Xenopus tropicalis: one gene and its partner. The protein of the gene in region 1 purifies or fractionates together with the protein of each later gene. This does not show direct contact. Links are inferred from orthologs where the notes say so. Each region holds a gene or a part of one and is shown on either strand. Other genes may lie near its edges. The genes, in order: abce1 and lto1.

Region 1 (3,814 bases):
TGGCATCCCTGTAATTTGGGGCTTTCTGGATAAAAGGTTTCAAATAACTAATCCCATACCTGTACTGTTCTTATTACAGCTTTGTGGAATATGTTTATGCTAACAAAAAACACAGGTATATAGAGATCAAACTGTTAGATACAATCTGTATCCTTTTGTACTGATTATTTACAATTAATTACTCTGACAGTATGGGAGCCAAGAATCTCCAGATTGTTCCTTTCCAACCATACCAGACTAATGAGGTGCCATGAGTTGTAGCAACTTGTTGCTGATTCTTGTCTTAGAACAATACATTTGTTGACATGCACTAAACCATCTACCCCTCTCTGTCTGCTGATTCAGATCAGTGTGAATTGCACTTGGGTTTGCAAACATACTTTGATTCATATATTTTTTGACAGCTAACTTAAAATGGGGTCCATAAATTGCTTAATTTCTGTAAAATGTAGAAGGCCTACTTTATAAACATAGGTGCTAAATTACTTAAGTGTAGTTACCTGTAGCAACCTTGCCTTATCTGTTCCATTGCACATCAGATGGGTGCTATGGCATCCCATTCACTGAAGTCACTCTGAGGAAGTCAGCCTTAGGGCTCTGGCACACGGGGAGATTAGTCGCCCGCGAACAGGGAGTTTTGCCGCGGGCGACTAATCTCCCCGTGTGCCAGAGCCCTTAGATCCATCTACCTTCTGTGTTAGAAGTTCCGGAATGTAATAAAAGCATTTACTAGTGTAACAGAAAACTCCATTTACCTGATGGTTCACAGTTTACCTCACTGGCACAATGCCCTCCACCACAACATGATTTTTCTTTTTCCTCTGATTTTCTCTTTTAAACATTTTGTTTCAATAAAAGCACTTGAAATTAAATGGTGCTTTTTTTGTGGCAGTTTACCCTAAATGCAGTTCTGACCCAAAATTTTACTATTTTGTTTTCCCAGGTGTTAAAGTTGGTGTCCATTGAAAAACAAAGCTACAGTTATACCAGACAATATGGCAGACAAACTAACGAGAATAGCTATTGTCAATCATGACAAATGCAAGCCAAAGAAATGTCGTCAAGAATGCAAAAAGAGTTGCCCTGTTGTAAGGATGGGTAAGTGACGTTTCAGTTCGGTTATGATTCAGATTTAGATTTAATTAAGAATTTAAAAAATGTAAATTAGTGTGCAGCTCTTTGGGGACTGGCAGCATCCATATTAATTGTGTATTTGTGTAATGTCTTTTAAAAAACTTTTTTATAAGCTGTGATATTATTTTTGATAAATTGTTGTTGGTCATAAAGTAGCACAGAAAAATAGAATATATAGAATCAGTATTCTGTATATTCTATTTTTCTGTGCTGCTTTATGCCCAACAACAATTGAAGTGCTTAGTTTGTAATTAGTGCATTTATTTTTTTTTTGTAGGAAAATTGTGCATTGAAGTGACTCCACAAAGTAAAATTGTATGGATATCCGAAACCTTGTGCATTGGATGTGGTATCTGTATCAAGGTAAACAATTTTTTAATTTTAACATTTACAGTAGCTAGGGACAGCTGATATTGGCAGCAGACATTTTTTTTCAGATGTGTATGTATGCTAGTTGATTTTGTGGAGCAGGGCTGTTGCTTAAGTTGAGCCTCAAGTGTGAATATTGGTAAAATAGAGTAAACGATTGCAAGTAGTTAAACCAGTTGTGTAATATATTATTCTGTTTTCTTACAGAAATGTCCCTTTGTAGCATTGTCAATTGTCAACTTGCCGAGCAATCTGGAGAAGGAAACAACCCACAGATATTGTGCCAATGCCTTTAAACTTCACAGGTGAGTGATTCTTGAATATTTGAGTTAGATGCTGCAAATTACAGAATTGAATTAAGGTGGAAAAATAGAAACATTTCATTTGTCTCTTCCTGAATTATACTGTGTACATAGGAAGTACCACTCTGTGGATGCTATGAGCTAGGTTCTTTTTAAAGGGGCATATCTATCAAACATGAAAGAGTTCACCAGCAGTACTTCTGGTGCTTAGATCTTTACTGTCCTCATGGAGGACCCTGGACTTGGTGTACCACTGCAAGGCATTTTTATTTCTCCCCGCTTGCCTGTGGGCTCCTTAGTTTGCTCTGTATGACACTATCTGTTTATATAATCTGGCCCATGAGCAAGTACTATGTCACTACCTGGAAATAGTTGGACAGTGCTGACTTTTTTAATTTTTTTAATTTAATCTGCAGCCATGAGGATTACAAACTGTATATATTTTAACAAATGATTTGGTTGTATAAAGGTTGCCTATTCCCCGACCTGGAGAAGTACTTGGGTTGGTTGGTACAAATGGTATCGGAAAATCTACAGCATTGAAAATTTTGGCTGGAAAGCAGAAGCCAAACCTTGGAAAGCATGATGTAAGTATAGGCTGCCAAATTTCAATGACAGCTGAATAATATAATTGGTATGCTGGTTGACTGATTTCATTCAGTCTATGGCGGTGTTGAACTCTTCTGTTTTCAAAGATAGAATGTGTTTTTTTTTTTTTTAATGTGATTTTTAGAGAGATCTTAAAGGACAAGAAAACCATAATTCATTGGAGCTGTGCCACTGTATGCTCCTTCAGTGAATTAAATCAGTCACTTTCCCCATGGGCTGGCATTTTTCCTGGGGAAAAAATATACCAAGAAGGCGGAGCATTGTGTCGCAGGGTAGTGCCACCTTCTTACCTGTTTTTTGGGGGGTTTTTTGGAATTTGTTTTTTGCCCACAGTTTAAGTTTCTGAATAGCATTTAAATTGATGCGAAGAGCTTGTTTAGTAATTTGCTTGTAGTGCTTGTTTTCCATTCTGTGTGTTTTTTTTTTTTTTTTCCTCTCTAAAGAGAACTATAATATAAATAGTTTCCTCATTATTGTATTTATTTTCAAGGATCCTCCAGACTGGCAGGAGATCTTGACCTATTTCAGGGGGTCAGAGTTGCAGAATTACTTCACCAAAATTTTGGAGGATGACCTGAAGGCCATCATTAAACCTCAGTATGTGGACCAAATTCCAAAAGCTGCAAAGGTAATTGCACTTTTTATTTTCTAGAATCTGTTAACTACATTTTAGTTTGGTATGAATTGCTTGCTTAATTATTACTATAGTGCATTTACAAAATTTACAGAGATTTCCTATAACTGTAGGATGCACTGTTAACATTTATGTAATAAAAAAACTTTTTGTTTTCTTTTAATTATGTACACAGGGACCTGTGGGTACCATATTGGATAGAAAAGATGAGACAAAGACACAGAAATCTGTATGTGATCAACTAGGTGAGTATAAAATCTTTAATATAGGCTGTACATTAATGTATGGTCATGTATTATTTCCCCTGCTTTTACCGCTAGAAGGTTCAGTGCAGCTCTCATAAATCCAGCAAAAAACCTTCTAGCACTTGGTGGGCTCTGAATAACTTATTGATATAATGGCTCACTTGAGAACTTACACTATAATAACCTATAGAGAAGTGCTCAGCCTGTGGCCTCATAACTGGTTGTATGATGCTTAAATGCCCTTTACCATGGATGTTTACATATTTTGTATATATGAGCCACATCAGACTTTTGACTGGCATAATGACAGAGCAGCCTTTGATATTGTTTCTTTGTATTGTCACAGAACTTTTTAGTGTTTACTTAATTCAATGTAATTCCTAAATTTTCCAGCACTTGTTCTCTTGTCGAAAGATACAGTATGCACAGACTTGGAGGAGATTACTGCTAATAAACACATGTTTTACAGACCTTACTCATCTGAGAGACAGAAACGTGGAGGATCTTTCTGGGGGAGAGCT
Region 2 (4,277 bases), on another chromosome or scaffold:
AATTACATTATGCTGAATAGGCCCTTCCCTTTTGTATTATAAAATAATTTAATAGAAAACATGCATTGTGCAACACTAACCTGTTTTACCTTCCCACGGATATTTGCCATGTCCTCTTGAAGATTTGGATTAGTTGGATCATCTGAATGAAAATTCCGAATCATGGCAATCAGTGAATCAAGGGCTTTTATTTTTCGCCTGCATAGAATTAAAAAAAATAACATCAATTTCCATTTATCGTAATGATTTACATCGTAACACTAGGCTAAAACACTTCATTGAAACTTAACAAGCAAAGCAATTTTTAGCAGTTTGGATCACTTGGTGCTTACAAGTCCAACAAAGAATTGTAGCAGTTATGACTGCATTCACTATTGACCTAATCTTATGAGGCCATCTTTTGAGTGTCAGTGGCGCTGCACATGCTCTGTGTGCTCTGTGTTGCTGTTGAGATGCTAAACTTACAGACCTTCTGAAATCTTAAAAGGAGGTTACCTCTGTCACAGAAGCTAATGCAACAGGGCTGATAATTCATGAACTCAGATGTAGAATACACTGGTTTCCAAGCTGCCATGTAAACTGAATCAGCTTGTAATGTAAAACAGAGATTTTTGACTGGCTTCTGTGGGCTTGAGCTGGCACAGAAACCCCAAAAAACAGCATTTCTAGCCTAGTTCTTTGTTTCTTTGGTCTCCTTTAAAAGGAAAGCACTATACATAACCTTAAGGCCTCAATGACAAAATGTTTGCATATTTTACCGTTGGATAAAATTGTGTTTTATTCATAACGAAAAACCATCTATTCTACTTATTTAACTACACAAGTCTTTTGTGACTGGATTTTCAGGAAAAGGTTTAACATGACATCCCTGAGGTCCTATTTTCAAAATAAGCTATATTGCTAGTGTAAGCAGGAACCTAATGTTCAGATTGATTGGATCAGTGGTGGTTACTTATTAAAGCACAGGAAAACAAACCTTTGACGATCATCAGAAGCAGGTACCAATAGAAGCCTCCATGTTGAAGCGAAACCCAGGTAACAGCCAAGCTGCGTCCAAAGAGGAGAAAAAGTGTAATTAAATGGGGCAATGGTTATTATCATTATTTATATGAGTTTTTTGTGGAGCAATCGCCTTTGCATTAAAGGAGAAGGAAAGTCAAAATCTATTAAGCACGCTATTAAATAGTACTACTATTGCTGTGTAAAAACGCCATATTCCTGGCTTGCCTAATGAAAGATTTACAGAGATACACATACTAGAACCTACATACTTGTTTCAGTGAACGGCGCCCGCCATCTTGTCTGTATGGGCTGAAAAGCACAAGCCAGCCCCCCCTCCGCTCCCCGCTCCCGCCACAAAGCCTCCGCCGCTCCCCGCTCCCGCCACAAAGCCTCCGCCGCTCCCCGCTCCCGCCACAAAGCCTCCGCCGCTCCCCGCTCCCGCCACAAAGCCTCCGCCGCTCCTCACTCCCGCCACAAAGCCTCCGCCGCTCCCCACTCCCGCCACAAAGCCTCCGCCGCTCCCCACTCCCGCCACAAAGCCTCCGCCGCTCCCCGCCACAAAGCCTCTGCCGCTCCCCACTCCCGCCACAAAGCCTCCGCCGCTCCCCACCACAAAGCCCCCGCCGCTCCCCACTCCCGCCACAAAGCCTCCGCCGCTCCCCGCCACAAAGCCTCTGCCGCTCCCCACTCCCGCCACAAAGCCTCCGCCGCTCCCCACTCCCGCCACAAAGCCTCCGCCGCTCCCCACTCCCGCCACAAAGCCTCCGCCGCTCCCCACTCCCGCCACAAAGCCTCCGCCGCTCCCCACTCCCGCCACAAAGCCTCCGCCGCTCCCCGCCACAAAGCCTCTGCCGCTCCCCACTCCCGCCACAAAGCCTCCGCCGCTCCCCACCACAAAGCCCCCGCCGCTCCCCACTCCCGCCACAAAGCCTCCGCCGCTCCCCGCCACAAAGCCTCTGCCGCTCCCCACTCCCGCCACAAAGCCTCCGCCCCTCCCCACTCCCGCCACAAAGCCTCCGCCGCTCCCGCCACAAAGCCCCCGCCGCTCCCGCCACAAAGCCCCCGCTGCTCCCGCCACAAAGCCCCCGCCGCTCCCGCCACAAAGCCCCCGCCGCTCCCGCCACAAAGCCCCCGCCGCTCCCGCCACAAAGCCTCCGCCTCTCCCGCCACAAAGCTTCCGCCGCTCCCACCACAAACCCCCCAAGCTCCACAAACCCTCTGCCGCCCCGCTCCCCCCATCTGCTTGTCACAGAGTTCGCCGACGCTGCGTCGCCATGGCAACCGGCCGCTCCTGCTGTGTGCGCATGCGTCGCCTGCATTAACAAGCCGCCAAGTCTTGAGGGAGTGATGCATTATGGGAATCTTCTCTACCCAGCTCAGCGTTTTTTTTTCTCTGTATGGGGAGACTTAAGGGCACTATTGAGAGAACTGAAGGTATGCCTGCAGCTTGGGATTAACTCTTTATTAGCCTTTCCTTCTCCTTTAATACATGGCATCCTTTAACCAGTGTCACTACTTATTTTTTAGTAGCACCGATTTACACTATGAATGGGGGTATCCTGTGAATCACACACACACACACATATATATATTTAATAGTATATAATTATACACACCTCCGATCCCATTCTTGCTCCATAGACAGCTCCATACTGCTTGCCCTCTGACTCTCCCGCACTGTTTCCTTCCGCCAACCCTTCCTCATACCCCTCCCCGCGGTACCTGCAAAGGAACCCAAGTCACTCGCACAACCACATAATGATACATTTCAAACTTGAACTTCCTCTGCCTGCAGCTGCACATCGGTAAGTAAACATAACACAGGCCGCACCTCTGCTCGCACATAATAATGTCATCAAACAGGTCGTCTGTCCCTTCCATTACTGCTCTCTGTCCCTCTCACGCCGCACACACAACCCTAGCTCAGCGAAATCAGCCTCTGAAAGAAATTCCGGAATTACGTCACACCACATCCGCCTCCCACAAGCAAATAGGAAGAGCGCTGGCCTAGCCGCTGCGTGAGAGCACCAAGATGGCGCCTGTAAAGCGCACTTCCTGTTTCGCAGGTTGCTATGGCTACTGCTTGTGACGCAGCATCGTCTTAGAACGCGGGAAAAGCGTGATAATAAGTAATAATAAGTAATAATGAGTAACTACAAGACCTGAGGTGCGAATGGGAGATTAGCTCTGGGGTAATGCACTAACAAGGTTTTAATGTAACTCTACCATTGCCCTGTCATTTGTGTTAGATAATATACAGGGATTATGAATAGAAAACAGGGTGGGTGCATAGTTGGAAAGAGTTTCTAAGTTTAAATGGGAATTCCCTGCTTTCAGCTTGTGGGACCGCAATGTTGGTGAGGCCATAGTGACGCACAGTGTCTGTGGTGTTTTTGCGGGCAGAGAGAAGTGGGCGGTATTCCAGGTGTGACTGTGGCCTTATGGTGGGATTCAGAGGGCATTTACACAGGGTTGGACTGGGCCGTCGGGACCCTGTTGCCATTCCCCCAGCCGCGGGTGTCCTCCCTTAACATGTTTCACTTACGGTGGCCATACGGGTTAACAGGGTCAGACTGGGGTGTCGGGACACTGGGAAAAATCACGGTGGGCCCCGGCGGCCCAGACCCGACCCCCCTGCCAGACTGCTCCTCCCCTGACGCATTAAATGTACGAGCTCAGGGGAGGACGTCAGGTGGAGGGCCCTGCAAGGGGGGTTAGGGGGGCACCTGTAGGGCCCCTGGGGTGGGAGTGGGGTGGGCCCTTTACCCCCCAGTCCGACAGGTTAAAACCTACGGGTGGGCGATATCGGGTGAATTTAGGCTAATTCAGTTGTTTGGCGACAATTGAATTAGAACGCCGGTCCCCGATCCAACTAAATTTTTTAACCTACCCGATCAATATCTGCCCGATTTCAGGCCAGATATCGGTCGGGCAGGTCTGTCGTTTGTGCCCCTACACGGGCCGATAAGCTGCCGAGTTGGTCTATGGGACCGATATTGGCAGCTACAATTGGCCCGTGTATGGCCACCTTTACACGCGCTCAGGGAAGGACGTCGGACGGGGGCCCCTGCGGGGGACGTGGCCAGTGGGGGCACCTTGGGGGGTGCAGGACCTCTGGGGCAGCAGCTCTGGTGGGCCCTGAACCCCCCCAGTCCAACTCTGCATTTGGAACCAGGACACCCACAGCCAAAGCCCCAGTATTGGACTGGGACAGCAGTGGCCCTTTGGGGCTGCAATGGGAAGGGCCTGGGGTCCGGTTTTTAGATGGGCTGCCC

What was found.
Region 2: the proteins of abce1 (region 1) and lto1 purify together in Homo sapiens (affinity purification with mass spectrometry; 4 studies listed by BioGRID and IntAct, with this or other methods). This does not show direct contact. The link is inferred for Xenopus tropicalis from reciprocal best matches to the Homo sapiens genes ABCE1 and LTO1.

What each region holds. Positions count from the first base shown.
Region 1 is NC_030677.2:59,060,053-59,063,866, forward strand, and holds part of abce1 (ATP-binding cassette sub-family E member 1), read left to right. Parts: intron 1-943; 5' UTR 944-995; coding exon 996-1,098; intron 1,099-1,411; coding exon 1,412-1,497; intron 1,498-1,710; coding exon 1,711-1,808; intron 1,809-2,274; coding exon 2,275-2,392; intron 2,393-2,904; coding exon 2,905-3,042; intron 3,043-3,223; coding exon 3,224-3,293; intron 3,294-3,762; coding exon 3,763-3,814. UniProt on the Homo sapiens protein: Nucleoside-triphosphatase (NTPase) involved in ribosome recycling by mediating ribosome disassembly. Able to hydrolyze ATP, GTP, UTP and CTP. Splits ribosomes into free 60S subunits and tRNA- and mRNA-bound 40S subunits.
Region 2 is NC_030680.2:12,878,435-12,882,711, reverse strand, and holds the start of lto1 (protein LTO1 homolog), read right to left. Parts: upstream 2,911-4,277; 5' UTR 2,884-2,910; coding exon 2,834-2,883; intron 2,725-2,833; coding exon 2,619-2,724; intron 1,048-2,618; coding exon 977-1,047; intron 199-976; coding exon 81-198; intron 1-80. UniProt on the Homo sapiens protein: The complex LTO1:YAE1 functions as a target specific adapter that probably recruits apo-ABCE1 to the cytosolic iron-sulfur protein assembly (CIA) complex machinery. May be required for biogenesis of the large ribosomal subunit and initiation of translation.